2 linked regions of the Arabidopsis thaliana genome follow. The protein of the gene in region 1 interacts with the protein of each later gene in a biochemical or structural test. Each region holds a gene or a part of one and is shown in the gene's direction. Other genes may lie near its edges. The genes, in order: WOX1 and SAMDC.

Region 1 (17,015 bases):
GAAGATCTGATTCCATCAACTCGAAAACAACATAAATGTCTCTGAACTCACGGCGTGAAGGAGGAAGCATTACATGCTTTATCTCCACTATATCAGGATGGCGGAGCAACCTGAGAAGCTTGATCTCTCTTAGAATCCGCGTTGCATCAGAGACGTGCTCAAACACATCATTGATTTTCTTAATGGCAACCTTTTCGCCTGAATGTGTGTCGATTGCAGATGCCACAACACCGTAACTTCCTTTCCCTATAACTTCTTGGATTTGGTATCGGCTAGCTTCACCGTATTCTGTAAAGAACTCAGTCTCCAGTGCAACCTAAAATAGTAGCATTATATACCAAAACAGATTTTAGATAGAAAGATATGAAAACTGAGAAGAATTTTGCCTAGTTCTCCAAACTCTACAGATCATATGTATCTTCTAGACTTTATAAGGTACCATAGATTCAGGGTGAGACTATACGGAATCATAAACCAGTTAAGAGCCGATGCAAAGGAAACATAATCAAGAAGAAACCAAATGAACAATGTAGCATTTCTACTACTTCTAAAAAAAAATTCAGATCACGTATATAAGGTAAGTTGCCACAGAGTAAGATAATTCCAGAGGGCATAAAGCCGAGGCGAAAAATGCAAAATCATGAACATGAAGCAACCAAATCCACATAAAAGATCCAAATGATCAGAGATGGCTTTGCATTTTCCACCATTTCCCAAGCAAATAAACACCAGAAATTTTGGATAAGAATCACAAAAAGTGTTGACCTTTTCAATCTAATAACTAAAACCCAGTAATTAAACAATGATTTGCTACAGTTCCCCGTCCAATGTAGTTGGAGAAATTAAACAGAAACTCATAATCACAAAAGGCAACAAAACCTACGAGGTCCAAAAATCAATTCTAAATCTGGAGAAATCAAACAGATAAATGAAACGACAGATCCATATGAGCAAGCAATACCCAAAACGTTTACATAGAGAACAAAAACGAACCTTTTTATGAGGATCCATGAGAATATAATTCCTTCTAGAAACCCTAATGCAGTTCAAACCAGACAAATCAAAATCTCTAACAAGGGAGAAACTTTTCGCTTCTTCTTCTGCTCTTTTCTCTTTTCCTCCTTCTTCTTCCTCTTCTTCTTCTTCTTCTTCTTCTTCCTCTTCTTCCTGATTTCTGTAAATAGTTGTGAGCTGAGACCGTAAATTACTAACAGATAAGCGATCACTTGATGAAGCAGAGTGACGAGAGCTGGTGCTGTTACTGTTGGTCAGAGGATGATTAGAAGCATTCCGAGAATGAGGATGATTATTAACGTTGGTGCTGTGACTAGCACCCATCAAACACCTCCACCACCACTTTTAAACTAATTTTAATTTAATTATCATCGATTGACAATAACAATTATTATTAGTAAATAATAATGATTTTCACGTCGTCGACGCACGAATCTCTCAGGTATGGCGTGCTTCTCTCTTTCTAATTCGACTCTCCATTACTATTATTTTTTGTTGGCTGGTTTGGTTCTCTTGTCCGAAGGATGCGGAAGATAGAAGAAGAAGAAGAAGAAGAAGATGAAAGGTGGGTTTGGCACGTGCGACTCACGTGAAGCGTGTGTTTCTCTTTTTCTTAAAGGGCATGTTTGACTATTTACATTGCTTTTTTTTTAATTAACTTCATTCACATGGCTTTATAACACCTAAAAACACCGCAGATGAATTTAACTTGCGTCCGTGACATAACCAGATTAGGAAAAATTAGGCTAACAAAATTAACAAATCGTATAACTATTTTTTGATAAGGACAGTATATAATATTGAAATTCAAAAAGCGTGTTTGAGAAAAAGAAAATAAAAATGGTGGTGGTGGGTAGGGCCAATAGCCTAATAATAAAAGAAGGTTATGTTTGAGATAATTGTAAGATGCCAGCAAATGTCTGCTCTGTAACTCTTCTAATGCACGTCTCCGGTCGTGTGTGACTCGAGAGGACCCAACCAAATATGCAAAAACATTTAAATAAAAAACATAAACAAATCATTTCAAATTCGAGAGAAAAATAAAAGGGTCTTAAAACTGTTAATTATGCAACAGATAGGCCCATGTAATGTTGAGGTCCATCACATAAGTAAACATTATATTGAAGGCTGATAATTCGGCCCGTTAAAAGTGTTGTTTATAAGAGGTTGTGTGTACTGTGTAGTGTGACATATCAGAGGCGACAAAACATATCATAATCTTTTGTTTTGTTGGAATTCTGGTGTGGTGATCGTCTTTTGTCATCTGCTTACTTGGTGTCTGGTGATTGTGTCTTCTGATCGTCTATTACCAGCCGCACTTTGTTTGACCCTTGCTTGAAAGTATTCGAGCACACGCATGCACACATCACAACACAGATATATTAGTATTAAAAGAATGAGCATACATAAATTGTTGTATGAAAACGACACGACTCAGGTGATACTTGGAGTTTGAATGATGAGCATATATCGGGTTTTACTTGCGCTTAATGCATAAGCATAAACGTACTGTACTCTTTATAATATCGTATTGTAATGTCAGTAATATGTACCAACAATTCTCTTGTTGGATGATTCTTTTTGGGTACCGTGATGTATGGGCTGGCTTTACCAAGGAGATAGGTGTGACACTTGTTCCCCCATAGATTTATCAATTGTTCTTAGTCCCATTGATTTTATTTGAGATTTGCTACTTCAAAATTCAAATGGTGAAATCTATCCAACTACCCTTTTGAATCCACACATATAATACACAAAAGTTCATTAAACAATATTAAAATGTCAAATGAAAAAAAAAGTTCTTCTAAAAAAAAAAAAAAAACATTAACTATATGTAAAACCACTAAATATCTTTAAAATTATCGCTCACTTTGTATCCTTTACATTACCCGTTAAAAATGCTTGTTTGTTATAAATTTTGCATTAAACAATTATAAATTCTAGTTTTTCATATTTTAAATTTTCTTAAATTCATCGTTCACTATTTATCATTTTTATTATAATGTTTAAATAAATAACGCTTCTTTGTACAAAACAAATTAAAATTTGCAATCAATACTTACTAATTGCATGTTTTTCCATATTTTGAAAATTTTAAAACTTATCTTTCATCATTTAATATTTCAATTATTCTTTTAAATATATCACGCTTATTTGTGATACAAGACAAAAGAAAAATGTATTTAGCACTTGGTAAATATATTTTTCCATATTTTATTTTTTTCATAAAGTTATCTTTCATCATCTATAATAAGAGGTTTACATTTATTTGTTATTTTTGTTTTACGTCGTACATTTATATATATATATATAGATATATATATATATATATATCAAATATTTTGTTAAAATGCAACTAAAGTTAAAATTTAATTCAAATGTAAATATCATACATTACTGTTTAAAAATATTTTAATGTCTTGTAATTTTTCCTTAATGAAAAACATATTTGATGTATCATTTTGTGATTAAGTTAAAGGGTCGCAAATAGATATATACTCTAACAAAATTCACAGAAAATATAAATTTGAAACTAAATTTTATGTAAATGTATCGATTTCAAATCCTAAACAGAGGACATAGAAGTTAGTAATTGCATTTGTTTTGCCATACTCATCTCAATACATCTCTTACTTATCATACACTCTTTAATGGAGTTTGTTACATGGGTTACTTAATGTAACAGTGTTTGCTATATACTTCATTCGATGTTATTCTAAAATCAACAAAATTGTTTTACACTGAAAGCGAGGAGTTCTTTTCAGAAAAATAATTTAAAATTTTGGCGGTCCATTTTTAAAATTTTGGTGATTTTTTATTACATTGGAGCGAAAATGTAGCAAAATTCTAAGAGGCAAAAATGAAAAAAATCAAAGTAAAGAAACACAAAATCCTTAAAATAAAAGACAAAATGATATGACACGTCATCGATCCTCGTCAAAACCGTCGATAGAAAACAAATCAACGGTTAGATTTAATAGTAATCTTTCTTCTCATCCTTTCGTCTCTACTCCTCCGCCTCTCTCTCCCCAACCTAACTTTATTTATTTCTCTCACAAAAATTTTATTTTCACAAAAACAAAAAAATCAAAAGAGCTCTCAGAGCAAAAAACAAAAAAAAAGAAAAAAAAACCCTAAATCTAAATCTCACCTTCCACCTCTGTCTTTTTTTTTTTTGTTCTTTTTTTTTTTTTTACTGTATCTTCTCTTCTCTTTGCTCTGCAAAAATCTCACATCCATGGATCCATCTCTTGGTGATCCTCATCATCCTCCTCAGTTCACCCCTTTTCCTCATTTTCCCACCTCCAATCATCATCCTTTAGGACCAAATCCGTACAATAACCATGTCGTCTTCCAACCGCAGCCGCAAACGCAAACGCAAATCCCGCAACCGCAGATGTTTCAGTTATCTCCACATGTTTCAATGCCCCACCCTCCTTACTCCGAAGTAAGTTCAATCTTAAAAGCCTCTTCCTTTATAACTAAATTCAGTTACTTTTTTTTTTGTTACTAATTTTTTTTTTCTGTGTGTAGATGATTTGCGCTGCGATTGCGGCGTTAAACGAACCGGATGGTTCGAGCAAGATGGCAATTTCGAGATACATCGAGAGATGTTACACCGGTTTAACTTCTGCTCATGCTGCTTTGTTGACTCACCATCTCAAGACTTTGAAGACCAGTGGTGTTCTTTCTATGGTTAAGAAATCTTACAAAATTGCTGGTTCTTCTACTCCTCCTGCTAGTGTAGCTGTTGCTGCTGCTGCCGCCGCTCAAGGTCTCGATGTTCCCAGATCTGAGATTCTCCATTCAAGTAACAACGATCCCATGGCTTCTGGCTCTGCTTCTCAGCCTCTGAAACGAGGTCGTGGTCGTCCTCCTAAGCCTAAACCTGAATCTCAACCACAACCACTACAGCAACTTCCACCGACCAATCAAGTCCAGGCTAACGGACAGCCAATCTGGGAACAGCAGCAAGTTCAATCACCTGTTCCGGTTCCGACTCCGGTTACAGAGTCGGCGAAGAGAGGACCTGGTCGTCCAAGGAAGAACGGTTCTGCTGCTCCTGCTACTGCACCAATCGTTCAAGCTTCGGTTATGGCTGGAATTATGAAACGTAGAGGTAGACCACCGGGTCGTCGAGCTGCTGGGAGACAGAGGAAGCCCAAATCCGTTTCTTCTACTGCCTCTGTGTATCCTTATGTTGCTAATGGTGCTAGACGCAGAGGAAGGCCTAGGAGAGTTGTTGACCCTAGCAGTATTGTTAGTGTTGCTCCAGTAGGTGGTGAAAATGTGGCAGCGGTTGCGCCAGGGATGAAGCGTGGACGTGGACGACCACCTAAGATTGGTGGTGTTATCAGTAGGCTTATTATGAAGCCTAAGAGAGGACGAGGACGTCCTGTAGGTAGACCCAGAAAGGTAAATTTTCACATCCCCCAATTCTGTATTCGTGATCTCGATTTTGCAATATCTGACGTTTACTGTGCATGATTGTTCACTGCTCCGCCGTCAATTTAGATTGATAAAGTTTGATACTTGTGTTGCAATCATTGTGGAATTCAAACTCAATGTCACTTTCCGCTTTTGAGCATTGTTGTCTGTTTTCGCGTATCCAAAATCTGACTAGTATCTAGTGTTTTTATTATATTTTCGTGTCCCTTACTTTTGGCTTATCCTTATCTGGTTTCTCTGTTTTATTTTAATTTTCGTTTGGATAATTAAGACCAAAATAGTCGGTAATGTATCGCTATAGCTAGGAATAATTTTATCATCAATTAGTGTGTTAATCCGGCTTAATGGTTTCTAAGTCATCACATAGTGTCTTCTTCTCTGTATCTTCTATTTTACTAGTAACGTGTTCAATTGGATCTAAAGTAAGACTTCTTAATTTAACCATTAATGTCTTTCTTGAATATGTTATACTTTTATCCAACAATTTTATTTTTTGGTTCATGAACCTAGATTGGAACATCAGTCACGACTGGGACACAAGATTCTGGAGAACTCAAGAAGAAGTTTGATATTTTTGTAAGTCTACTTGTTGACAATAAACAGTTTGGCTGTCCTTTATTTGATTAAAGTATTCGATTCTACTTGCTTATGTTTGGTTTTTGTATGTAAATGATTTCAGCAAGAGAAAGTGAAAGAAATTGTGAAGGTGTTGAAGGATGGAGTTACAAGTGAGAATCAAGCAGTGGTGCAAGCCATAAAAGATCTGGAAGCACTAACAGTGACGGAGACCGTTGAGCCACAAGTTATGGAAGAAGTGCAGCCAGAGGAGACTGCAGCACCACAGACTGAAGCTCAACAAACTGAAGCTGCTGAGACACAAGGAGGACAAGAAGAAGGACAAGAAAGAGAAGGAGAAACACAGACCCAGACAGAAGCAGAGGCAATGCAAGAAGCTCTGTTCTGAAGAATAATAATGATCTAGAAAACAACCTAGACATAATAGCCTTGGTGTTTGGCGTTAGGAGTGTTTTTTTTTAGTTGTTTTAGGTGTTGGAATCGCATCTTAAATTATATAAAAATCTATAAGGAATTTTAATTTTTCTAGGTTTTGTTGTCTGCAGAAGAAGAAATAGTAGACTCGTTAATGGTGTTGTTGTCGGTGTGTCTTTAACCAAACCATAAGACGTGGCTGTAAATTAGCGATGTTTCTAGTCTTCCATCTTTAATAATCTCTTATTGCGTCTGTGCCTTTGTTTTTTTCAATCTGTCTTCTGCTCTCTGCTTCCGCTTTGCACATTGTGGAGATGTTTTCGTGTCTATTTTCCACCCAACGGTTTTAGCAGGTCGACTCTTACTTAATTTCTTACTAATAATATCTTCATTTCCATCTCACGTTGGCTCAAAAAGCTATATAACTTTGACTCGAAAACATGTTAGAGTTAACACAACAGTCGAACTCAGAATCGAAATTGCAGTCCAAACGAAGTAAATATAAAATGAAATATATCGATATTCACAGCCCATACGACCGAGGCCTAAAAAAGAGTGAGTCAATGGCCCATTTGACCAGCAACTAAAATGATTGTCCTCTCGGGCCTCTCTCTTTCTCTTCCCTCTAAAACATTTTGATATTCTCTTCGACCAGATCAATTTTTCGGTTAGGGTTCTTCGCCGAACCATTGGCTACTTTGCTAGATCTCTGAAGGTGTAAAAGAGCTATGGAGAATGGGAAAAGAGACAGACAAGACATGGAAGTGAATACCACACCGAGGAAGCCTCGTGTACTACTCGCTGCAAGTGGAAGCGTCGCTGCTATCAAATTCGGCAATCTCTGCCATTGCTTCACCGAATGGGCAGAAGTCAGAGCCGTCGTTACGAAATCATCTCTACATTTCCTCGATAAACTCTCTCTCCCACAAGAAGTGACTCTGTATACTGATGAAGATGAATGGTCTAGCTGGAACAAGATCGGTGATCCTGTCCTTCACATCGAGCTTAGACGTTGGGCTGATGTTTTAGTCATTGCTCCTTTGTCTGCTAACACCTTAGGCAAGGTAATTTAACAAATCGACGAAAACCCTAAACCAACTACTTAGATTCAATTGTGTGACTTGTGAAAACATTCATGGAGGATTCAATTCATACAATATATTTTTGTTGTACCTTTGTAGATTGCTGGTGGGCTTTGTGATAATCTTCTGACTTGCATTATACGAGCTTGGGACTATACCAAACCACTGTTTGTTGCTCCAGCTATGAATACTTTGATGTGGAACAATCCTTTCACTGAAAGGCATCTTTTGTCTCTTGATGAACTGGGAATCACACTTATTCCTCCTATCAAGAAGAGACTTGCCTGTGGAGACTACGGTAATGGAGCTATGGCTGAGCCCTCTCTTATCTATTCCACTGTCAGACTCTTCTGGGAGTCTCAGGCTCATCAGCAAACCGGTGGAACTAGTTAAAACCATGATTTCCACAACATGCATTTTGTGGAAAATCATCTGTTTTCACTATCTTAGATAATAGTAGATTTTATCAGTCTGTTTGCTTTTCTTGTACATCTCAAAATAGCTGTCTGGATTGATGTATCTGGAGGACCATTTGCACTACTAGCTCCACTCTGTTTCTGTAGAAATGTCTATGTTTCTTTTCCTCGCTCTTAAATGTTGTCTTCAATTCTGCTAATAGCTCACTGAACTTTTGAATTTGCCAGCAAAAATTTCACAGAGAAACAAACAAGCCCACTTTTTTACGTTTACCAGTGATCGTGATATCAAAATGCAAGATCCTTGAGCCCCAAAACATGAATTTTATTGCTTTTGAAACAGTCTATCCTGAGGTTGCAGGGTTTGAAATTAACTCTCTTTCCACAGTTAGATCCATAGAATCATGTAGTTTATCGAGTATCCGCCATGTAACAGCATCAGGAGCCTGACCGTTCTTCCTCATCTCCTCCAAAATCTGGTACGCTTCTCTCTTTAACCCACTTCTGCTACACTCAGCAATCACAGTATTATAGCACACAACATTAGGGATTGCTCCAGAATCTGCCAGGTCATATAGGAAATGGCAAGCATCACTTAGATAACCAGACTGACAAAGCCCTTTCAGAAATGCTGCATACACAAACGCATCATGTCTGCCTGATGGCCATATCACATCATCCCAGAACTTCTTCGCCATATCCACCTTATTAGTCACACACAACCCGTCAATGATTATTGCATATGTAGTGCTATCCGCAGTCACACTCGCCTTTTCCAGCTGACCAAACACAGACATAGCTTCATCTCCCTTGTGGAGCTTGAACAACCCACGTATAACAGCATTGTATGCAACAACACCTGGCTTAATCTTGTTCTCCGGCATAACGCGATTCAACACATCCAGAGCTTCTTCTGCTCTTCCTTGAGCGAGCAAGCCACACATAACAGTATTTAAAGTCACAGCATCTGGTGCACAGAACTTCCCTGTCATCATATCATCAAGAACTTTCATGGCATCGTCCACCCTGCCCATCTTGCATAATCCATTAATAACTGTGTTAAGTGTATACTCATCAGGCCTGCAGTCTCCCTGAAGCATACTGACCAGTACGTTCAGGATCTCAGTCGGGTTATCCATCACGCAGAGACCGCGTAGATAAATATTATAGATTCGAGTTCTATCTGCTCCTTCTTTTCTCAACATCAGCTCTAGAACATTCCTGGCTTTACCCGTGTCCAGTTCCTTGCATAGACTCTCCATTAGGAGCTTATAAGTATACTCAGACGGAAAAAACTCAAATTCAGATCCCTCTTCTAGCAACTGATAAGCCCTCATACACCCACCATCCTTGCACAAGCCATGAATTATAGCATTGTATGACGTTCTTCTCGGTTTTAACCCTTTACTCTTCATTATATAAACAATCCTCGCTGCTCCATGGTTTCTCCTGTATCGACACAAGGAATCTATCATATGCCCGTAAGCAAATTCAACGTTCACAGACTCGCATAGTGACATGTTCTCTGCAATCTCAAAAATATCATTGAAATACCCTTCCCTGCACATAGAATCAACGAGATTCGCAAAAGCTGCTGCTTTCATTGATGTATCAGTCTCATTCTTCATGTATTCCCATAGTTCCTTCATCAGCTTCCGTCCTGTTTCAACATCTCTCATTTTCAAAAACCCACCAATAAGAACACTCAATGTGAGAGAATTAGGCCTTATGCCACACACACGCATTTCGTCGAACACTTTATGAGCAACTTCCAGTTCTCGAATCTCACAGTAACCACCGATTAAAGTTGTGAAAGTCACAACATCTGGGAGATGCCCTCTGTTTCTCATATCGAATACTAGCTTATGCGCATCGATTACTCTATAGATCGTACACAACTGATTCATCAAACGGTTGTAATTCGTCAACGATGGCACAAACTCCTTCTTGAAACCGATCAAACGGTGTATAACTCCCAACGTACTCACCGGAGATCTCGAATATAACAATCTTGCGATGATAACGTTGCAGGTTCGCTCGTCTGGGATAAAACCTGAAGCGAGGAAGAGTAAAAACCGACGGTGAGCTTCGTCAAATCGTCCGGCGTCACAAAGAGAGTGGATCACACTGCTGAGGTTAAGCGAATCAGGACGATACCCACGGAGGCAGAGTCCGTCTAGAATCCGAAGAGCTTCGTCAGGATTCCTCCGTACGGCGCAGATACTGTGTATCCGTCTTCTCCAGTAAGCTCTATCGGTTACACTGCGTCGACGATCTTCTGCTTCTATTGCATCATCTTCTCCTTCGACATCATCAGATTTCAATACGGAGGCAGATGAGAAAGAGAGGGATTTAGAGAAGAAGAAGCCATTTTCTCTGGCTCGTAGTCGCAGACGAGTGACGAAGAACATAACTTTCGTAGCAATCTCTGTTTCTCTCTTTCAAAACCGGTTTTTATACGACAAGACATTTATAGCTTGTTTGGGCCTAATCCGATTTCATTGGGCCAAAGTCTGATTTATATAAGCCCAGAGTTCTTTTTAATCAATTTTTTATATTTATTTTGTATATTAGTTAAGTTCACTCAATGTGATTATTTTTCCACCAAAATCTTTCATTTATTCTTATGAATTTACCTAATAAATAGAATATAAAAGTGTGAAAAGAAAAAAAATCATGCTTGAAAATATCTCTGTTAAAAAGAAACGTAATGATTCAGAGTGCGTGCGAAATCACGTATGATAACAAGCTTGCAACTCAGAAAAAGTACTTGACGTTTGAAGAAAGCCATAATTTTGATCATATGAAATTATGAATGATTATCGTAATTTCTTTAAAACAAAAAATAGAAAGATTGATTAAGTGATACACAATTCAGTTGTAAGCCAATCATATTTCAAAAACTATGAGATTTTATCATTTTTCAGAAAGAAAGAAAAAACATAAGATTTCATCGATTTTTCTAAAAAAAATCATATTTATTAAGTTTGAAAGATATATCACAAAATAAAAATTGAGATAATCACTTTGTTCATGTATGTCATTATATAATACCTACACCTTGAATCCATCGCTACATCTCAAACAAATGAGGGAAATATATAGTTTGATCACATAAACATGAGAACAAATAAAAAGCAAATTAGATCATTTTTTGGTACATCTTTTTCAAACTCAGGGATTAATATATTTACAATTTTTTCCAAAAAAGGGAGAAAAAACAAAAGGATTAGATTAGGGCTTGGGAAAAGACAGAAAAGGGGGATTTAAGATCCCAAAGAGAAGAAAGAAGGAAAAGGGTTTTATCTATGGAAAAGCAATTGTTTGAGAGAGACAAAAGGAGAAGAGGTTAAGAGTGTAAAGGAGACAAAGCCTATGGGGCAGTTGAGAACAAGAATAATAGTGAAAGCCACAACACACACATACATACACATATTTATTTAGGGATCTCATATTCGTCGTAAAAAGACATATTAATCTAATACTATAGGATATATAAAAAATGAATGAAAGAAACCAAAAGAAAAAAAGAATGAAAGAAAAGGAGTGATGGGGAGAGATGGGAGGAATGTCACGTCGTTATAAGCTCCTTCGCATCTCCCCATATCATTCATATCATATCCCCCCAGAATTCCACGCCCCTCCGATCCTCTCTCTCCTCTTTTACTAGTCAACCTCATCTTCCTAGCTTCAATTCTTTTATTTATCATTCCAAAATTATGTAGCTTAGTGAAATTCCATATATAGCTGATCACTGCATTTATTGAATTCGCTTAACAAATTTAAAGTGATTTGTCAATTATCATCACTGTACTTTATTACGTGTTCAGGGTAGGTGTATAGTTTTATCACCGTGCTTTAGCTAGGGTATAAAATTTTGTGACATATATTTGGTTGGGACGAAAGTTAATTTTTTAAAAATCTATTTATATGTCAGTTTCTATGTATAGTGGTTAAAAGTACTTACATCATCCGCAGAGTAATCACGTTTTGATTAGCATTCTAGTGGTACACATTGTACATGAAAGCTTTTATCATGCAATCTAAGCTTAATGTCTATGAATCTACATGTTTTTTTTAGTTAAATGAATCTACATGTTACATTAATCGTATTGTGCAAACAAACATTCCATAGCTTCCTACAAATGTATGATATGATAAAATTTCATCATGGGAAAGTACTATATATATAGGTCGTTTACTAATCAAGGATTATATAATGTTATGTTTCTTTTCTATACAAACATATTTATGATTTTGCAGGACGGTTGAGAATTTTTAAAGTGAATGGAATAAAAGGAAATAAAATAAAATAAACTTTTCTATTCATATGTAGAATGTTAATATTCTGTATTTAGAAATAAATAAAAGGATGTGTTAAATTGTCTACATATACACACACACACATATGTGCTTACAAAACCACCCCATTTGCATGCTCCCATTCTCACATTCACATACAAAGATATCTCTCAACTTTATCACTCTTCTCCAAACCCATAAGCCAAAATAGCCAAAACTACTTTCTACCATTTGTCTATTACTCCTTCAACCATATCATTCACATCTCCTCAGTTTCGATAAAACAAACAAAGCCCTAATATTTTTACTTGCTATATCGCTGTCTCTCTCCCTTCTCCTCTATAAACATACATATAAATTAAGTACACACCAAAATGTGGACGATGGGTTACAACGAAGGAGGCGCAGATTCCTTCAACGGAGGAAGAAAGCTTCGTCCTCTCATCCCACGTCTCACTTCTTGCCCCACCGCCGCCGTAAACACCAACTCCGACCACCGCTTTAATATGGGTATCTCTTTCTCTCTCTCTCGTCAATTTTTGGTGAAACTTTCCAGTCTCTCTTTCCCTTGTTTCTAATGCTCATTTTCTTGCTTTGGTTACGATTTTCACAGCAGTGGTGACGATGACGGCGGAGCAGAACAAGAGGGAGCTGATGATGCTAAACTCAGAACCTCAACATCCACCGGTAATGGTGAGCTCACGGTGGAATCCGACACCAGATCAGTTAAGGGTTCTTGAAGAGCTTTACCGACAAGGAACTAGAACTCCTTCTGCCGACCACATCCAACAAATCACCGCACAGCTACGACGGTACGGGAAGATAGAAGGCAAAAACGTTTTCTATTGGTTCCAAAACCACAAAGCCCGAGAACGCCAGAAACGACGGCGACAAATGGAAACTGGCCACGAAGAAACGGTCCTTTCAACAGCAAGTCTTGTCTCAAACCACGGATTCGACAAGAAAGATCCTCCAGGTAAGGGACCATAACAGAACTTGGGGATTAACATTCAAACAATAAAAGTCTTTTTGGATTAGAATGTCTTTTTGGGTTGATTTCATTTCAAAATTGACGGTTTGAAAATTCATGTCTGGAATTTTGCAGGTTACAAGGTTGAACAGGTCAAGAACTGGATATGTTCGGTCGGATGCGACACGCAACCAGAGGTATATATCTCTATTTATACATATATTTGTTTCTAAATTGATATTATTTTATGATATGTATTATGTATATATGTTGCTCATATTCTGTGTTTATAATGGTCTTGGGGTTTCTATTACATGAAAGGGAGTGTAATTAAGGATTGAGGGTTTACATATATAATTAGCATATGATTACAAATAGAATCTGCTAGCTAAGAATAAGTGAATTCCTTTTTGGAAGTTTGGGTAAGTTATTGAAAGAAAAAAACAAAAGGCAGAGAGATGAGGCGGTGGAAAAGACCAAGAAGTTAATTTATGGGGAACTTCAAAATAAGTATTTTTGTAGCATATGCAAAAATACGTATATTCTTAGCATATAATTATGGTTTTATTTTGTTTGAATATTAGTAGTATCTTTTTAAAAAGATTATTGAATTCATCCAAAAAGCTGCAGAGACTTTCCTTTCTGTCGGCACAGCTGCTACGTACGATCGATCCTTTAGCTCTGTGTCTTCTTGTTTTTGCTGAATTTCCATAAATTAATGTGCTTTTTCACTCCAAACACATGCTTGAAAAGACCCTTTTGACCCTGGTCTTTAACGGTCTCATTCTTCTTCACCCCTGTCCCTATCTGGAATTTTGTTTTAAGCATAAAGTTTGTCGCTTTGCCAAATTTTGACTTATTTGTTACCAATTTTTACATTTTCCGATGCTAATTTGACTAATTTCAACACATCTTGAATGTTCTTTCTTTTGCATAATTAGAAACCTTCCCGTGATTATCATCTGGAGGAGCCAGCGAATATACGGGTGGAGCACAATGCTCGTTGTGGAGGAGACGAGAGACGAAGCTTTTTAGGGATAAACACCACGTGGCAGATGATGCAGTTGCCACCTAGTTTCTACTCTTCTTCACATCATCATCATCAACGTAACCTCATTCTCAATTCACCTACTGTTTCCTCCAACATGTCCAACAGCAACAATGCTGTCTCTGCTTCTAAAGATACGGTCACGGTTTCACCTGTATTTCTACGTACGAGAGAAGCAACGAACACAGAGACTTGTCATCGAAATGGTGATGATAATAAAGATCAAGAACAACATGAAGATTGCTCCAACGGTGAATTGGATCATCAAGAACAGACACTTGAGCTGTTTCCACTGAGAAAAGAAGGGTTTTGTAGCGATGGTGAGAAAGACAAGAACATTAGTGGCATTCACTGTTTCTATGAGTTTCTGCCATTGAAGAACTAAACCTAATTGAAGTCTTTCAAGAAAAACAGCTTTTTGTTATTAGATGATTAGTTTAATTATTCAACCGAGTTAGGGAGAGTGAAAAAGGATAATTAGGGTTTTGTCTAGGAGTAAGGGCAGGCGTGTCTTTATGGTGTTGATGTTAACATTTCATAAGGGTTTGCCTTAAAATGCACTTTGGACCACTTTCTTTAATTGTTAAAAATGAACCAAACAAATTTAAAAAGGAAAAGAATAGAAAGACATGTGATTTTCCCAATAGTTTTTTCATTTGTGTGGATGTGGTGACTTAGGGTTTAGATCATGAAACTTGCTTGATTTGGTTGGTGAATGAAGCTATTTGGTGCTTTGGTGATGGGATAATCTGTTACGAGAATGGGAACTCGTTATTACTCTACATCTTTCCTTTAATTTCATGCGTTATTTCTAAAGAATATCTACACACACATGCATGATCTATATATATATATATGTGTGTGTGTGTATGTATGTGGGGATCTGTTTCTATGAGTTATAAATGCGCGAGAGACAAAAAGAATTGGGTTGATGTTGAAATGACTAAGAGAGTGGGAAAATATTATTGGTTTGGCACTTGTTTTGTTTTTCTCTTCACTAGCATACGAACAATATGCCTTTACATTTGCTATTATATATACAGTATATTCCTCAAAATTGAATGACTATTCGGGTCATGGTTCTACTTCTACCTATAGTAAGAGATAATTTTATATTTTTTAAGAATGAGAGTTTAAAACATATTATTCAATTAATATTTATTTAAACAAAAATTTCCCATAAAACACTAGCTAAATTTTCATTCATCTATGTCTTACGTACGAATTTTAACATTTTGACAAATTTTAAACTAAATTGAAAGCTTCGATAAGCTTGGTTTTTGATGAAAGCATGAAAGGAATTAGATCACAAGATGTATGATTAACGAATGAGGAAGAAAGCCTAGCCACCATAAATTTCAAATGGGGAAAATGACAAGATATATATGAGGGTGGGAAGGTGAGAAAAGGAAAGAAGAGTGACTTTTAGAGTAGAGAAGAGACAAGACAAAAGAAAAGAAAAATAACTGAATAGCTTATTCATAGAAGAAGCCCCGACACTTTCCTTTCTTTTCCCAAAGATTCATTCATTCTTTTATGTCTCTTTGTACGATTCAGTGAGACCCTTTTCTTTATTAATAGTTTTAGGAGAAAGATCGTGGGTAATTTTATTTGTTTGTACTGCTTATTTTGATACATTATCATTCCCTATCTATTCCTCTCTTTGTATTTGCTTTATTTCTTTTTCATGATGATTGTGTGTTTGTGATTCTTGCGAGCATGGAAGTAAGCAAAAACATCACTTTAATAAATTTTATACGAAAAAAGTAAAAAGCAAGAAGAGAAAATATTAATGGGTAAGCGTACAGTCAACAGATTACCACACGAACGATCCTATGAACTATAAACAATAGATATTGTTGTTAGGAAATAAAGAAACATGAATCTTCTCGTGAATTGTAACGAAGATTAATTGTAAAGTCTAATCGTACGGTAATAATCTTTTGGTTATTTATTTCCCTGGATCATGATTTTTTTTATGTCTGCTCCGGCCTTTGATTCATCGTAGTATATCATCAGTGACGTGTGATACTACTATGTAATAATACTATATGTACTATAAGATTTAGTCACTACAAATAAGAATTCATATATCACGTGACGATTAGTGAAATTGTGATATACTGATATATGTATCATGTTTGGCAAACGTGGAATCTTAATCACAATAAAACATATAGTAGAGGATGATTTGAATAATCCTGCATGAATATGATCGGTAATTTCAAGATGATTAATTCACATGATCATATTATATATATATATATATATATATATGATGTATTTTGTCCATTTTCATGATCCATCCATGTAAAGTTCTTTTGTTTGTCTTGTTAAAAAACAAAACCATTTATAGTTTTATATTCGTGTTTGATGTTTTGATTAAGGGCTTTATATATAAGAGTATATAGATACGTGCGTGGCAGTAATCATGCACATGATGGTTTTCTCCGTGGGTAATTCGTATTTGTCCCTAGCTACAGAAACCTCTAGCTGTATAGCTAAAGTCTAATACAAGAAACTCACAGAAAAATCCATCAATAAATCTCATTCAAACTTATGAGTTAAATATAAGTACATGGTATATATATTGTTAACTAAAATAGACCCAATTTTTATACTATTATATTTAGATTTAGTCATGTAGCACATAATATATCATTAGTATAAAAAATGTAACTAAAATTTACATTAAAAAAAGGAAAGATCGTGGAATAGTGCTAATAAATTGATAATTTGAACAC
Region 2 (17,015 bases), 5.7 Mb from region 1:
TTTTTTGTTTGTCGAAAAGGAAGAGTGGTCGGAAAAACCATTGTCCAGATGAGATGATTATGTAATCGAACTCACCGATTTGGGAAGCCCAAGTAGGGTCAGGTTCGTCGAGGTAGAGATTGTAGAATGAATTAGGACCTGTCGGACCGGTTTCCGTTTCTTCAGCGCGAACCAAATGTGTTGTCCAAAATGTGGCGATCGTGAAGTTGTACGTTTTGTATTTCCATCGTTGGAAATTAAACTCCTGTTGTGAGTCACCCTCAGGATGTTCCACCTGAAATTAATATCTAAACCAAGGTTACTTTTGCATCAAGTAATGTATTAAACGAGTAAGTATTGTCATAAAATAAATAAAAAAGTTGGATAAGCATTGAGAGAATTGGTACCCGAGAGAGTAGGCAGATCAAAGACTGAACGTGGTTTCTGCTAACGGAGTCACCAACGAACGCCATTCTTGTTCCTCTAACTATTTCCAGAAACTCGTAAGGATCAAACAGAGGGAGATCACATTCTTTAGGTTTCCATCTCCATTTCATGAAACCTAAATCAGGTCTTCCATACTTGATGCAGTTTTGGTGTTCGTGTATCGCCCTGCATGTCGTGTTTGTGTAGTACGGGGCTTTAGGGTTTGGGATCCACTCGCCGGAGAATATATCGCATTTACGTTTTCTCTTTTTCCGGCGGTGCTCTTTCTTAGGAGTTACTTGATGATGACCATTCGATGATGAGATGGATAGACGATCATTGTTATGCAAAGATGATGACTTGGGATCATGATATGTGTCGTCGTAATCATTATCATACGACGATGGTTCTGAATCTTCTGTCTTATAACTATCTGATGATGATGATGAATGGTTATACCTAGATGGAGAAGATATTGCCGACGACGATGATGAATTCGATAAATGTTTGTATGTTGATGTTGAATAATAGAGAGGATAACCAAAAAAGAGATAAAGGATTGGAGCTATCGTAAGTAGAATAAGAGGAAATATCACTAGTCCTATTCGTAACTTTGTCGCAGGAAGTTCCATCTCCTTCTTCCGAGAAAGTATCATTTAAAAACAGAAAAAGAATAGTTTTGGGATTTCTGTTTTATGTTCAATGGATGAGAGAGATGTTTGGAAGAATTTCGATTATTGGATTAGCATCAAACAAGGTTACCAATTGATTGGGACATTGCTAAAAAAAAAAAACGAATGAGTCGTTTGATATATATATATATATATATATATATAGTGAAGTAGAATGTTATAAAATATTAGATAGGTTAACTATCATATCTTTCTGATTGATATACACGATTTTAAGGCAGATAAGGATATTGTGTAGTAGTTTGTAGTTAGGATTATACTGTAGATCATATATTTTAGAAATTTTGTTTAGCATTTATTCGAGATTTTAGATATTATATTTCAAAGTGTATGCCTTTAATTAGATACCAAATATGTCGAATGGCTTAGGATTACTTCTCTTTAAGTATAAGAAGATCGTTTTAAAAGAGCAATTTAGGTTAATAATATATCTAAGAGATTTGTCAAATTGGAAGGTACTACGAACCAAAAAGCAATTGACTTTGCAATGTAAACACACAAAAAAACGTACATTTCCAAAAATTTCAGATACAAAGAAACTTGGTATCAATGGATTTGCTCTCTAACCGGTCTGTCTTGGTTTGGTTTAGCTGAGAGTTTGATAACCTAACGGTCCTTGTAAACCGTCTTGATCTGGTCCGTTTCTTCTAGCCAAAGATGGCATCCATGGGAACATCTTGCTGAGTTCATTTCCTAACGTCCTTGGCCTCGCTTCCTTATCATTGATCCCGAACTTCGCTCTCTCTATAGCTTCCATTATATCTTCCCGTGCCACCGCTTCTCCGCCTGAAAACAATCAAGAAATCGCTAGTGTCTGTTAAGCCAAAAACCGCAGCTTCATCCCAAAAGATCAAACCTGGGAAGCAACCAGATCGAATAACTACTTAAATCAAGAAAGGGCTGTTAAAAGATCACTTAAAGACTGACCTCTACGAGCAGCAAGCAATGCAGCTTCATTGACAATATTGGCGAGATCAGCACCTACAAATCCGGGAGTTAAAGAAGCAACCAGATCACATATGAGAAATGCATCTTCTTCTAAAGGAACGTCTCTCAGATGTATGGCCAAGATTTTCCGACGGCCTTCTTGGTCTGGTTCTGCAACCAAAACTTTTCTAGAGAACCTTCCAGGCCGACAAAGAGCCGAGTCTAACGCTTCTGGTCGGTTAGTTGCTGCAATTACAATGACTTTCGTGTCTGACTCGAATCCATCCATCTCAGTAAGCAACTACAAAGGAAGTATATCAGCAATGGAGTCTACATGGTTAAAAGGGTACTAAATGTTGATTCTTTACCTGGTTTAACGTCTGGTCACGTTCATCGTTGAAACTCCTACCGCGTTTTCCTCCAACCGCATCAAGCTCATCAATGAATATAATGGAAGGTGAGTTTTTCCTTGCTGCATTGAAAAGATCTCTGATTCGCGCTGCGCCTCTTCCAACAAACAATTCAACAAACTCACTAGCGGAGACAGAGAAAAATGGAACTCCCGCTTCTCCAGCTACAGCCCGAGCCAACAAGGTTTTACCGGTCCCTGGTGGACCGACCAAAAGCACACCTCTCGGTAATCTTGCTCCTAGTTTTTTGTAGTTTATACTTCCTTGAAGACATGAGACTATCTACAAAGAAAAACAGAACACATGGAGGTTGGACTTCAAACTTAATTCTATAAACGTTGCATTTACGTATCTTTTTACCTCCACGAGCTCGTCTTTAGCAGAATCAACACCCTCAACATCATCGAAGCCAACAGTGGGATTTTTAGACCGTCGTTTCTTCGCAGGGCTGTTAGATGCTGAGAGTTGCCGATAAAGAAGCCACATAAGAGGTGTCAAAGGAATCCACAGAGAGATGATTGTTATCAAAGTAGTTCTCATTGACATCAATGCGGATTGAGGAGCTGAACTATAAGTAATGCCTTTCTCTCTCATTAAACTAAGAAGAAACTTCTCATCATGATCGACTTTTCTTGTCACATACTTCCACACAGGAGGCAAAGCTCGAACCTTTCGCGGAGTATCGTCTTTCGTAACAGCTTCTGTCACTGTGCCGCCATCAATTTGGATTGCCGGATCTTCTAAAGTTTCAGACTTGTGAACATCATCAACAACCTCAACATTCTCATCAGTGTTGTAATAGATTCGACGTGAGCCTTCTTCGAGCAAAACCTTTGAAACAGAACCACCTCGAAGATTCGTAACGAAATCTGAGTAAGGAACAATGGATGGGGACGGAACAGCAGTTAACCTCAAGAACAAATAACACAGTCCAAAGATTAAAGCCACACCGGTGGACAAGATCACTCTTTTGAGATTCTTTTTCAAAAAATATCGAAAATCTTCCATTGATGCTCTGAAATCAAATCTGCCAAGTCTCATTCTCACTAATCGTAATCTAGGTCGAAGCCTAAGAGAAAACCTTCTTCTCTTCCCTTTGTTTCTACCATTTTCACCAATACGAGTCTCCTTATCTCCGTAATCACCAGTCACAAGTCGCTTAATCTCGCTATTACAAGAAAATCTATTACGAGAATCGCCATGAACTCTAATAACCCCTAATCTGGTTTCACCAATTTCCATAAACCCACCAAGTCTCCTGCAACTAAACGATTGAGTCCTGATTCTAGAGACACAAACATTAAGCTCACTACTCCTCGAAGACACCTTTCTATTAAATTTCTCCGGAGAATAACCTCCATTGAATCTAAATCGATTGCTACAAAGAACATTGAAAGTAGCCATGGATTCTCTATCCTGGAATCCGAATCATGCGTTGATCATTCTTGTGCAAAAATCCTAAGAAAACCGACCAAGCGCAAGAGTAGACGAACGTGTCATACAAGTGAAGAAGATTGGAATTAGAAAGGCTTTCGTCTTCAAGCTGATGACTCTGTTAAATTGAAAGGATAAGAAGAGTTCGCAAAAGCTCTTTTTTGGTTGACAGATAAAAAACAAAACACAGAACAGGAAAAACTGTATGAATAAGCATTGGGCATTATAAATCGAGTCATGGCCTCATGGGCCTTTTAGCTATTGGGCTATCTTTCATTTTGGGCTTATTTTAAAAAATAGGTTACTGATTTTTTTGAATTGGTATAATTAATTTGACGCCTATATATATATATATACCCAATTAAATTGTTTTGTTCCTAAAACTTTATGAATCATAAATTCATAATCGTCGTGATAAAGCCTCTAATTACCCAAAATCGTGCTCAATTTAGAAAATAGAATCTTTTAGTTGTCACCAAACTTAGCAAGTTGGCATAACCACCATTTAATCATAATAATACTCTCTCGACGGCGTCGTTTCGTGCTGGCTTCACTTGAATTATTATTTTTCTGGCTGGACTCATATTTTCTCCGGCAAGGAAAAAAGAAAAACATCACTTTCTTCAAGCGGATGAAAAATTCAAAGATTGAGTCACCACCACCATAGTAATATACGCGTATGAGTTCCCAGATGTGATCTCCATCCAACGTTGTATTTCTTTCGTTTTGGTTATCTTCTTCGGTTCCATCGAATTCCAACAATTCCCATCGAGGAATTTGGTTACGAATCTTTTGATCTGACTAAACCTAGGTGAGTTTTAATTTCTCCTGGATTTTTTACGATCACGTTTCTGCTGATTATGATTACTGGTTACAGTTTTTGGACGATCGACGTTACTAGATTTAGGATTTTACTTTGAGAACCTGTTTATACTTTGATGGTATAAATTTCACTATTGGGATATATTGGTCTATGATTGTGTCATTAGGGAGCTTGATCACAAGGAGACTGAAACCAATGCTAGGAGGAGTCTCTTCAGGTTAGTAGAATGAGTAGAAAAAGAACGGAAAATGGCAGTGAATCAGGACCAGCCACTTCTCATGTTCCTGTGGATAGATTCGGGTTTCTCAAGCAAGAACATGCCAATTCGCCTGAGCGTTTTAGCAAGTCTAAAACTACATCATCCACTGATCATGACAGGTATGTCCTGAGGGAGCGAATAATTTTAAAAGAATATGATTGAGAGAGTGAGAGTGTGTTTTTGTTGTTGGCTATCTATAGAGAGGAGAGAAAGGTGAGAAAATGGAGGAAGATGATTGGGGTTGGAGGGAGTGATTGGAAGCATTATGTTAGGAGAAAACCTAATGTTGTCAGAAGGCGTATACGAAAAGGGATCCCTGATTGCTTACGAGGTCTTGTTTGGCAGTTAATCTCAGGAAGTCGAGACCTTTTGCTTATGAATCCTGGTGTTTATGAGGTAATCTTCGCCGTTTATATCCTTACATTGTTTCTTCTCTGAGTCATATTCTGATCATCTATCGATTTTCCTATGAAGCAATTGGTGATTTATGAAACATCTGCATCAGAGCTTGATATCATTCGAGACATATCCCGTACTTTCCCATCACATGTTTTCTTTCAGAAGAGACATGGACCTGGGCAAAGATCCTTGTACAATGTCCTTAAGGCATACTCAGTTTATGACAGAGATGTCGGATATGTTCAGGTCTATCCTCTAGATATTTCCCTTGTTTCCCATTTTTCTTTCTTTTAGTATGGGACTAAGATTCATGATTCTAATATCTGCAGGGGATGGGGTTTATAGCCGGTTTGTTGCTTCTCTATATGAGCGAAGAAGATGCCTTCTGGTTATTAGTTGCATTACTTAAAGGAGCTGTTCATGCTCCAATGGAAGGACTGTATCATGTGAGTCTTTTAATTATTAGAAGATTGCAAGAAAATGTTGTATAGTTGAATGAAACAAAAAGAGTATTTTCTGCGTGAGTTAGAGTTTGTGACCACGTTTTAAAAAAGTTCTCTGTAGATTAAGTTTATAACGATTCTGGTGAGAGTTTTTCGTCATTGATTATGAATCAACTATCCAATTTAAAAGGCTACTGTATAGTTCGTTCCTTGATTTAACAAGGTAATGTCTTTGCCGCACATTTCATCTATTTCTTAAGAGTCAGTGGTTTGTGTGTAATGTAGGCAGGGCTTCCCCTTGTACAGCAATACCTGTTTCAGTTAGAAAGCTTGGTAAAAGAGCTAATTCCGAAGCTCGGAGAACATTTTACTCAAGAAATGATTAATCCGAGTATGTATGCAAGTCAATGGTTCATCACCGTCTTCTCATACTCATTTCCTTTCCCTTTGGCTCTACGGATATGGGATGTGTTTCTCTCCGAGGTAACTAAATGCGCATCCTTAAAATCTCTTTAACGTTTGTTGTGATCAAAGTTTCATTCTGTTATCTTCTATGGTCATTGTTTCTTAAGGGTGTTAAAATCGTGTTCAAAGTGGGCTTAGCATTGCTCAAGTATTGCCAAGATGAGTTGGTGAGTGAGGTTTATTTACGAGCTGTAAGTTAATTTCGCAAAACCAACCTTTTTAAAAAAATTAACTCTGCAGGTAAAGTTACCGTTTGAGAAACTAATACATGCTCTGAAAACTTTCCCGGAAGACGCAATGAATCCGGATACCTTGCTTCCATTGGCTTACTCTATCAAGGTTCTCTTTCGTTTTCGAAAAGTTAATGTTCTGGTAAAATTTCCATGATAACTCGGGAGAGATATGAAAGAATCAGATTCTCGATATCGACATGATTAACTTGATAGATAATTTAATCTTACTTGTAGTGATTAATTGAGGGCATTGATGTTGTTAAATCTGATGGTATACTTGAAAAACGCTCTCAGCTTTCTTGAATAATCAACAACTGTGTTTTTTTGTTTGTTCATGGCAGGTATCAAAGCGTTTGGAAGAACTGACACTGGAGTATCAGAAGACTAATGCCAAACCGGTTCAACCGTAGGAAATCCGGTTGGCAATAACCTGAACCAGAAGTTGGATTCGAATTCGTTTTCTCATCTTATCTTTTCTTGTTGGAATATATTCTTTTTTCATCATATTGTCAAGTTGGGTGGGAATTTCTTATCAGAAGCTCTCTGATTGTTTTTAGCAATTTCGTGGAAAAGAAGAAGGCATGCTCCAGCTGATGTATAGATAGAGAGAGAGACCAGTGTTCCTAGAGAGATATCACTAATGTGAAAAGTAAATCATATTGTTTAAAGGTATTTTTATTCTTTAAGGTTCATGGTACCAAACTAGTCCAAAATCTCAGAATTTTAAATACGACTTATGGTTGAACAAAAAAGATTTGGAATAAATAATTACACACTGGTCAATAGTGATTGGTTATAATTTTGATACATTTTATTTGTTGATTTTTGACAAATGGTGGACATGAGTCATGAGTGAGTCACGGGGAGGCCCAATTTTGTCATGTAGTGGAGCAGTTGAGAGCCTTTGAGAAATAGAATTTGATTCTTTTAGGCCCCACGGCTACGCTACCGTGACAGCTCGCCTCGAGTTATCCGCTTCAACGGCACACGTATCTTCTAAACACGTGTCAATCTTTGATTGGTTAATATAGCGTGTTGGCCCATCTCTGTTTTATATTTTGTTGTTCCGCAAAAGATAATGTCAAAAAATAATAAAGAAACAAATCTCTAAAATTAAAATAATTTCTACTTGCGGCGAAAGGAAAAAGCAAATTTGTTAAAATAGTTGGGGCTATTTATCTGCGGTCAGGAATGGAGATGCTCGCACCTACCGATTCCAACGTAAGTAAATGGTTGAAGGGTAATTTGGGTAAAAACCTCGGAACGGCAAATTGGAAATAATCAACGGCTCAGATAGCTTCACGCGATATAAACGCTAAGGTATAAGGTCAAATACGTAATTGTCAGGGAGCATAACCCTAGTACTTATATAAAGGCACTCTTTCTACCTTTCTTTTCCTCCTCACGAACGCATCTCATTGCTTCATCATTACCAAATCATCAACTTAATCGTTTCTCTCAAATTTAGGGTTTTCTCTTTTCTCGAAAGTCTTGCGGTTTTCTGAATCATCTCTATCTGGTGAGTCTCTTTTTTGAATTGTAGATCTGCGTTTTCTCTCTGTAGATCTGTTCCGTCGTTGAGGATAATGTTTTTTAATCGGTGAATTCTGGGTTTTTTTCAGGTTTGAGGGTTTCGTTTGATATCTGGAGAAAGGGGTTTCTGGAAACAAGGAGTTCATAATTCGCGATCTTGATCTATCGATCTTCATTTATATATGTAAGTATCTCTCACGATTGACGTCGTTCTTCGATTGATTCATTAGCCTAGCTAGGTTAGATAGACATCGTTCTTATCGTCCTAGGTTTTGGTATAAGAGATTGATATTCGCATGCATGGTTAGGTTGACTTATACCTGAAACCAACGACTTGGTTTCGATTTTTGTTTTGTTACATGTATGATTGCCTATTGTCTTAGGCTTTGTTTTTAGTTATGGATCTGCTATAATAATTGGTTTCTACTCATCATTCGAGATATACAATTGAAAATTGAATGGTTCTTATGGTTTATAGATTCGTATTGTCCTGATAAACATTGTTGTGTGATCTTTTGAATACCTGGTATTTTTATTTTTCATCTGATCTTTTTCCTTTGGATTTGTTTTGTCTAATACAGAAAAGCGTGAATGAGATTATGATGGAGTCGAAAGGTGGTAAAAAGAAGTCCAGCAGTAGTAGTTCCTTATTTTACGAAGCTCCCCTCGGTTACAGCATTGAAGACGTTCGTCCAAACGGTGGAATCAAGAAATTCAAATCTTCTGTCTACTCAAACGTGAGTTTCCTCTATAATGCTATATCTGATTTCTTCAATCTCTATGGTATCCATTATGTAGTCTCTTCTTAACTATGTTTTGCTTTTTGTTGCAGTGCTCCAAGAGGCCATCCTGAGTACCAGCGTGCACCGATCTTCATAATATAGTTATAGCTTTCTTTACTTTCCAGTTTATAATTTTCTTCTTTCAAAGCTCCTTTTCTGCTGGTTCCCGGATCCAATCGTTCTCTCCTCCTACTACAAGTCCTGTCGCTCACACAACAAGGCGAGATGGCCTTATCTGCAATCGGTTTCGAAGGTTACGAGAAACGGCTCGAGGTGACTTTCTTTGAGCCAAGCATCTTTCAAGACTCCAAGGGACTGGGACTCCGTGCTCTGACCAAGTCCCAGCTTGATGAAATTCTTACACCTGCTGCATGCACGATCGTTTCATCTCTCTCCAACGATCAATTGGACTCTTACGTACTCTCTGAGTCCAGCTTCTTTGTCTACCCCTACAAAGTCATCATCAAGACTTGCGGTACCACTAAGCTCCTCCTCTCTATCCCACCACTTCTAAAGCTGGCTGGTGAGCTCTCTCTGAGTGTCAAGTCTGTGAAGTACACTCGCGGCTCCTTCCTCTGCCCCGGAGGCCAGCCTTTTCCTCACCGCAGCTTCTCTGAAGAAGTCTCTGTTCTTGATGGGCACTTTACTCAGCTGGGCTTGAACAGCGTAGCCTACTTGATGGGCAATGATGATGAGACTAAGAAATGGCATGTCTATGCTGCCTCTGCCCAGGACTCCAGCAACTGCAACAACAATGTCTACACTCTCGAGATGTGCATGACTGGTCTGGACAGAGAGAAAGCTGCTGTCTTCTACAAGGATGAAGCTGACAAGACTGGGTCAATGACTGATAACTCTGGAATCAGAAAGATCCTTCCCAAGTCTGAGATCTGCGACTTTGAATTCGAGCCCTGCGGCTACTCTATGAACTCAATTGAAGGGGATGCAATCTCCACGATCCATGTGACCCCTGAAGATGGGTTTAGCTACGCTAGCTTCGAAGCTGTGGGTTACGACTTCAACACCCTTGACCTTAGCCAGCTGGTGACAAGGGTTCTCTCTTGCTTCGAGCCCAAGCAATTCTCTGTAGCTGTGCACTCGAGCGTTGGAGCGAACTCATACAAGCCAGAGATTACTGTAGACTTGGAAGACTATGGGTGCAGAGAGAGGACATTTGAGTCTCTAGGAGAAGAGAGTGGAACAGTGATGTATCAGACGTTTGAGAAGCTTGGTAAGTACTGTGGATCGCCTAGATCTACCTTGAAGTGTGAATGGAGCAGCAACAATAGCTGCAGCAGCGAGGACGAGAAGGACGAGGGAATCTAGCAGAATTTTTCTTCCTAATAACTATTTTCGAGCTTTCTGTTTTTGTTCTTTCTTTTTAAAAAACTTATTAAGTTCTTATGAATAATGACTTGTGAAGTTTGAGTTCGTCTCCTTCACAAGCAAGTTGTATTGGTGTTTTCTACTTTATGAATATGGGTTTTATATACCTAAAGACTTGTTATGTTATTATTCTTAAATGTTGCTGCTATGATGATTACTATTATCGATTTTTACTATTATATTTGTTTTTTTTAACGATTCGTTGAAAAATAAACGAGATTGACACTAATGTAGCAAAATGTGCAATATTATCTTCAAAACATTACAAAATTCAGTTGTCTTAATCTTTTTATTTCCGATGACAAATTATGGTTACGTAAATAGTACTATATTAAAAAAAAAAGAAAAAAAAAGACGAAAATAAAACAAAAAGGGAGAATTTGAGTATTAAACCAAAAAAAAAGGGAGAAGTGGACTTTTGATCAAAAGAAGAGAACAACTTGCATGAGTAAATTAGTTTTAGAGCTGACTATTTAAAATTTTAAGAACTAAAAAGAAAGTGGTAGTATAATTTAACAAAAGGATGATGACTCATATGAATAATAGTAGGCAAAAAAAACTTCAAAACCACAATTTCTTGTTTTCACTTAGAACCTTATTCTGCCATAATTACGTTTAGTTAAATTAAGAAAAAATTGCTTAAAACGACAGTACAAGAAGAAGGAAACATTTTCTTTCACTCAAAATCCTATTATCGCGCAACAGAGGAGTCTAAGTGAAATAATACCGTGTCGTTTGCGGATCAGAAATCGAGAGAACCACGTATGTGTCTTTTATGTCCTGGTCAAACGGTTATCCAACACGTGGATCCCAAAACTAGCCACCGACTGCAGCAAGTTTCTCGAACCGATGCACGTGTCCTCGACACGTGGAGACTCCCAAGCACGTCTCTGGGTTATAAATAGCAACCCAATGCTCCAATCATTTTCCATCATCAAACACAAAACAATCAATCAAAAACATAAAATTCAAAGTGTAAGCAAAACCAGAACGAGAGAAAATGGACAACAAGCAAAACGCGAGCTACCAAGCCGGTCAAGCCACTGGCCAGACTAAGGTCTCTCTCTCTCTCTTTCTTTTGTTACACATTTCGTATCAATTTGTTGAAATATATGTAAAAGATCTCTACATTTCTAAATTCATATAGTTTTCCCGCAAATACTTACGGATTACGATAGGGTGTTCTTTTTAGACAAGGTTGATCTAATAATGTATAATGTTAAACTTATGTGAATATAGGAGAAGGCCGGTGGAATGATGGACAAGGCCAAGGATGCTGCTGCTTCAGCTCAAGACTCCTTGCAACAGGTTCAGTTTTGATTCTTTCATTTCATTTTGCTCCCTTGTAGTAAAACCATAATATTGAACTTTTAAATCAAATTGTGAATTGTAGACTGGACAACAAATGAAGGAGAAGGCGCAAGGAGCTGCTGATGTCGTCAAGGACAAGACCGGCATGAACAAAAGCCACTAAGCAAGCACCTTGGACTTCTTTTCTAATTAATTCCCCTCTTCGACTTGTGTTTAATAAATTTGGGGTTTTAATTCTCATTCCTGCTACTTTCTGATGTTGTTTCCTTGCGTCCATTTGGATCTTTATGTAATCTTATCTATCTAGTTAATAAAAGTATGCTTTTTAATATCATGAATGTGGAAGAAAAAAGGGAGTGGGTTTCAGTGTTCAAGTATAAAGTAACAACTAACAACTTCAAAGAATATTAGATCAATGAAAGTAAGTATCAAACAATGTATATATCTTATAGTGTTAGTTTGGAAATTTTATCCAAAATGAAGATAATTTGGAACGTTAGATGAAGTTTTGTTCCTCAAATAACTTTGGAACCTTCAGTTTTTTATATATCATTGGAAATTTAGTGAGAAAACATGATTGGATCAATTCTCTTACTAAAACATTTCAAGAGTATAAGGAATTATTGATTGAGCACAAAAAGACATGGTCATATTTTCCTAATCGCTGTGGAGGATAAAATTATCTAAATAAAAAAATGTTGTGGCTAAAATGAAAATTACAAAAAGTTGGAGGATGACAGCTTAAAAATACTCGACCTTCCGTCTTGGTCAGAGGTTTAGTCTAAAGCCCTAAACATTTCCTCTCTCTCTTGCGCCATTGCTGCTCCATCGTTCCCATTCGTAAAAATCCAAACTTTTTGTTCAAAATCAAGCCAAACTCTAGTGTTGTTGTAGCTTAGATAGACATTAAGGATGAGGTATCAATGGCGATCGCTTCTTTTCCGGAGCTACCGTTCGTCTCCTCGTCCATTTCTTTCTCATCACTCGCGGTTCCAGGTAATCTCCAATTCGACTCGATCTTTCTCTTCTTTCCTCCACGAACGTTTTGGAGTGCAACAAAGACAGTGTCTTTTTGCCTTGCGATCGCCATTGGCGAGCTCTGTTAGCCGACGCTTTTCATCTGAGTCTGCGATAGAAGAGAAACTTCCTGCTGAGACTGTTGTGATTGATGTTTTTAGCAGATTGAATGGTAAGGATGAGATTACGAAAGAGCTGGATTCGAATGATGTTGTGATTAGCCATGAATTAGCATTGAGAGTTCTGAGGGAACTTGAATCAAGCCCTGATGTTGCGGGGAGGTTTTTCAAATGGGGTTTGGAGGCTTATCCTCAAAAACTTTCTTCCAAGAGTTATAACACGATGCTGCGTATTTTTGGTGTTAATGGATTAGTTGATGAGTTTTGGAGGTTGGTTGATGATATGAAGAAGAAAGGGCATGGTGTTTCAGCTAATGTTAGGGACAGAGTCGGTGACAAGTTTAAGAAAGATGGACTAGAAAATGATTTGGAGAGGCTGAAAGAGCTATTTGCTTCAGGTTCTATGGATAACTCTGTTGACAAGGTTTGCAATAGGGTGTGTAAGATTGTGATGAAGGAAGTGTGGGGTGCTGATGTAGAGAAACAGCTAAGGGATTTGAAGCTCGAGTTTAAAAGTGATGTGGTAAAGATGGTTTTGGAAAAACTTGACGTGGATCCGAGGAAAGCTTTGTTGTTCTTTAGGTGGATTGATGAGTCTGGAAGTTTTAAACATGATGAGAAGACGTATAATGCTATGGCCAGGGTTTTAGGGAAAGAGAAGTTTCTTGATAGGTTTCAGCACATGATAGAAGAAATTAGGAGTGCTGGTTACGAGATGGAAATGGAGACTTATGTTAGGGTTTCAGCAAGGTTCTGTCAGACTAAAATGATTAAAGAAGCTGTTGAGTTGTTTGAGTTTGCAATGGCAGGTAGCATTAGCAACACACCCACCCCACACTGCTGCAGTTTACTGCTCAAGAAAATTGTCACTGCAAAGAAATTGGACATGGACTTATTTACAAGAACTTTGAAAGCTTATACTGGGAATGGCAACGTTGTGCCGGATGTTATGCTGCAACATGTCCTCAAGTCTTTGAGAAGCGTTGATAGGTTTGGACAGAGCAACGAGGTGTTGAAAGCGATGAACGAAGGTGGATATGTTCCTAGCGGTGATTTGCAGAGTGTGATTGCATCAGGACTTAGTCGTAAGGGCAAGAAAGATGAAGCAAACGAACTTGTGAACTTTATGGAAGCTTCTGGAAACCATTTAGATGATAAAGCAATGGCATCTTTAGTTGAAGGGCACTGTGATGCTAAAGATCTCGAAGAAGCTTCAGAGTGTTTCAAGAAGATGATTGGGAAAGAGGGAGTCTCTTATGCAGGTTATGCATTTGAGAAGTTGGTACTTGCTTATTGCAACAGTTTTCAGGCAAGAGATGTATACAAGCTTTTCAGTGAGCTAGTGAAACAAAATCAGTTGAAACCTTGGCACAGTACATACAAAATTATGGTGAGGAATCTGTTGATGAAGAAGGTAGCAAGAGATGGTGGGTTTGAAGAAGCTTTGAGTCTTCTACCTATGATGAGAAATCACGGGTTCCCTCCTTTCGTGGACCCGTTCATGGATTACTTATCGAATAGTGGAACAAGCGCAGAGGCTTTCGCTTTTCTGAAGGCTGTGACTTCAAAGAAGTTTCCATCTAATTCAATGGTTCTGCGTGTATTCGAAGCTATGTTGAAGTCTGCAAGGCATAGTGAAGCTCAGGATTTACTGTCTATGTCCCCAAGTTATATCCGTCGCAATGCAGAAGTTCTAGAACTTTTCAATACCATGAAACCTGAAAAATGTTCTTTAGAGAAACCTTTGCCTGCTCCTGCTCAAATTGAAGCTTAATTCATTATATGTTGTTTTCTTTTGTTTCTGGACGTGGTGATTCAAAAAGGACAATCACTTACTCGACTCTAATCGCTATAATTTTCTTCATATAGCGGCGATGTGGGACTTTTGAAGATTGTTAGTAGCTTAAATGGGCTTATTTAGAAAAAGGCCTCTGCCTCTTTTCCATCGTAAGCCAGTTTACATTACTAATCTTTCCCCAACTTAAGATTTTATCATTTGGTCTTGTGGGCTTTTTAGCAAAAGGCCTATTTATCAATCTTGTTGTCTATGTTGTCTCTTAGCTTTGTTTTTTCTCTATTGACCTTTAATCCAAAGAGTTTACAGAATTCATTAGTACTCTAAAGATTTGGTATTTTGTTTCTTATAAAGTACACATTATGTATTTACATATCGGACAAAATAAACACATATACATATGTGTATCGTAATAAATAAATTAATCATGCGAACAAAGGAGCATCATCACACATCTTCTAATGATGTAGATCCTCCCCTTTTGTTCTTTCAGATATTTCCCGAGTCTTCTACTTTGGGATTTCTTCTCCTTTCTCTTCAAGCTCATGATGCTTTCCATATCCAGTTGTGTCCCTAAGAAACCAGTTGATATAACAATGATTGTATCGGAAATACTAAAAAGTTGGTGAGACTTTACACCACGACGAATCCCTCGAAAAAACTTGGTCTAGATTGTTTCCGAGCAGGAATCTTCTATGATATTAACTATTAATTAAGAGAGTGTGATATTGTGAAGAATAAGAGAACTTTGGAAGATAAGTGATTTAATGGAGAAGATACTTGTTCGAGTGAGTTTTTATAGGGAGAAGTTATTGTCTGCATTCTACAGTAACTTAATAAACAATTAATAATAGGTATACATTGGACCCTTAAATTTATCTCTAATCAACCATATAAATGATTATATTGTTCGAGGAAATTATTATCATTTGTATGTGGTTTAGTCACGTCACCAAACTCTATATAACAATGTGAAAATCCACCAACAAAGATACATTTGTCGGCCATTTGGTTGCATAACATATTCTTTTATCCACTATCCTAATAAGTGATAAAAGTAATCATTTTAATTAATAAAAATGGTATTATATATCGAACTAAAAGCAAGTCTTGTAAAGTTCTTCAAATTTAATTACGGCCTCTTAAGATTTGAGTAACTTTTTCGTTCGAAAAGACTAATATTTTGGGATTGATAGTATACTATATTTATTTTCTTTGTTGGTGAACACATTGACCAAATTAGTACAACTAGAGCCATTTTGCTTCAAATGAAATGAACATATCCCATAAAATGTGGATACATTGAGTCATTTTTACTCGCAAATAAAAACATGACCATTTTATAACATTTGATAGTTTATCTATGCTAAAATTAGCTGGCAAAACTTATATAAATAAATTAACTTGTTATATAACGTTCTGGTATATACAAAAAACTAAGTAACTTATAAAAGTAAACTTCTTAGAGTGCGGATGCATATAAAATTGAAAACCGAAGTTATCAGAGATCAATATATAGTTTCGTATGAATCTCATAGTCGCCAAAAGTGCATAAATGCGCAAGTGGATTTGATTTCCTCACCGTAAACACAAAATGCCAAAGATGATATGATATGTATATAGGACTTCATCGAAGCTAACATAACTGGAACAAGATTATATTTTTAATTACTTGAAATTTGCGATTATGAGCTTACATAAAAGTTAATATTATGGCCAAAACATAATCCCACATGTCTTTTCTCGTGTTCCATCACCAAATTAGCCGTAACTTGAACCTGGCCCTTGCTTCTTAAAAATTATTTTTGCCTAACTACTGTATTATATTAGCGCATCAATTCTTGGAAATTGTTTTTGTCTCCCCGAATATATTATATCCCGATTTTCCCTATGCCATGCTTCAAGAGTAGAACATTTTGAACTTATCATTGTTATATGCATGTCAATATTTTTTTGGTTATATGTTCAACTACACAAACACATACTACGTACTTGTACATTTTTATATTACCAAAAATAGATATATGATATGCGTATTAGCATAGAGGACACCACTCTTGAACTCTTGTTCCCTCACTTTCCATTTAGTTATTTATAAATTTAGAGGTAAGATAACAAACTAAAATTGAAAGGAAGAAAAATATATACAAAAAAAAGCAATCAGAAGAACCAATGTACAGTAGTATGCTGCACGTGAAATTCGCATGGGTATGGGTTACTGTTTGGCATAACCTAGACAACCTTCGTTCTCTTGTCCCCTAAGTACTGATACAGACTATACAGTAGTATTATTTCATTATTAGAAACCATTCATGATAAAAATTTACCATATGATATAGCTTAATTAACAATGAACTTAAACACAATTAAGAATCATTAACCCGTATCTTGGTCTTGGATGACTCAAAAGATAGTGTTCGTAATTAAAAACTGTTCCGGTGCAACGCATCGAGAACCAGTTTCGACTTCGTAATCTTGGTTTACTAATCATTTGAATTAAGGTTGATTGGTTTCTTGCTAATGAAGCATCCAATATCTTGGAGCTAGTAATCTAATCAAGATCCTTACACATACAAACATGA

The links.
Region 2: the proteins of WOX1 (region 1) and SAMDC form a complex in vitro, tested with the Arabidopsis thaliana proteins (one study listed by BioGRID).

The regions. Positions count from the first base shown.
Region 1 is NC_003074.8:6,158,796-6,175,810, reverse strand, and holds WOX1 (WUSCHEL related homeobox 1), read left to right. Parts: upstream 1-12,357; 5' UTR 12,358-12,627; coding exon 12,628-12,763; intron 12,764-12,866; coding exon 12,867-13,229; intron 13,230-13,358; coding exon 13,359-13,420; intron 13,421-14,164; coding exon 14,165-14,656; 3' UTR 14,657-15,078; downstream 15,079-17,015. Other genes in the region: MPK9 (MAP kinase 9), read right to left, coding at 1-316, 994-1,338; HON4 (winged-helix DNA-binding transcription factor family protein), read left to right, coding at 4,253-4,462, 4,549-5,430, 5,974-6,039, 6,143-6,427; HAL3A (HAL3-like protein A), read left to right, coding at 7,182-7,517, 7,635-7,928; AT3G18020 (Pentatricopeptide repeat (PPR) superfamily protein), read right to left, coding at 8,296-10,362. UniProt on the Arabidopsis thaliana protein: Transcription factor which may be involved in developmental processes.
Region 2 is NC_003074.8:501,193-518,207, forward strand, and holds SAMDC (S-adenosylmethionine decarboxylase), read left to right. Parts: upstream 1-7,693; 5' UTR 7,694-7,810; intron 7,811-7,903; exon of another isoform or gene 7,904-7,958; 5' UTR 7,959-8,009; exon of another isoform or gene 8,010-8,112; 5' UTR 8,113-8,207; intron 8,208-8,604; 5' UTR 8,605-8,760; intron 8,761-8,855; 5' UTR 8,856-9,030; coding exon 9,031-10,131; 3' UTR 10,132-10,270; downstream 10,271-17,015. Other genes in the region: TBL20 (TRICHOME BIREFRINGENCE-LIKE 20), read right to left, coding at 1-274, 387-1,061; AT3G02450 (cell division protein ftsH), read right to left, coding at 1,684-1,883, 2,025-2,325, 2,393-2,716, 2,795-3,838; AT3G02460 (Ypt/Rab-GAP domain of gyp1p superfamily protein), read left to right, coding at 4,918-5,069, 5,151-5,346, 5,425-5,595, 5,679-5,795, 6,078-6,275, 6,365-6,424, 6,498-6,596, 6,832-6,900; AT3G02480 (Late embryogenesis abundant protein (LEA) family protein), read left to right, coding at 11,192-11,248, 11,431-11,499, 11,585-11,665; AT3G02490 (Pentatricopeptide repeat (PPR) superfamily protein), read left to right, coding at 12,415-14,412; RTFL19 (ROTUNDIFOLIA like 19), read right to left, coding at 14,855-14,992. UniProt on the Arabidopsis thaliana protein: Essential for biosynthesis of the polyamines spermidine and spermine. Essential for polyamine homeostasis, and normal plant embryogenesis, growth and development.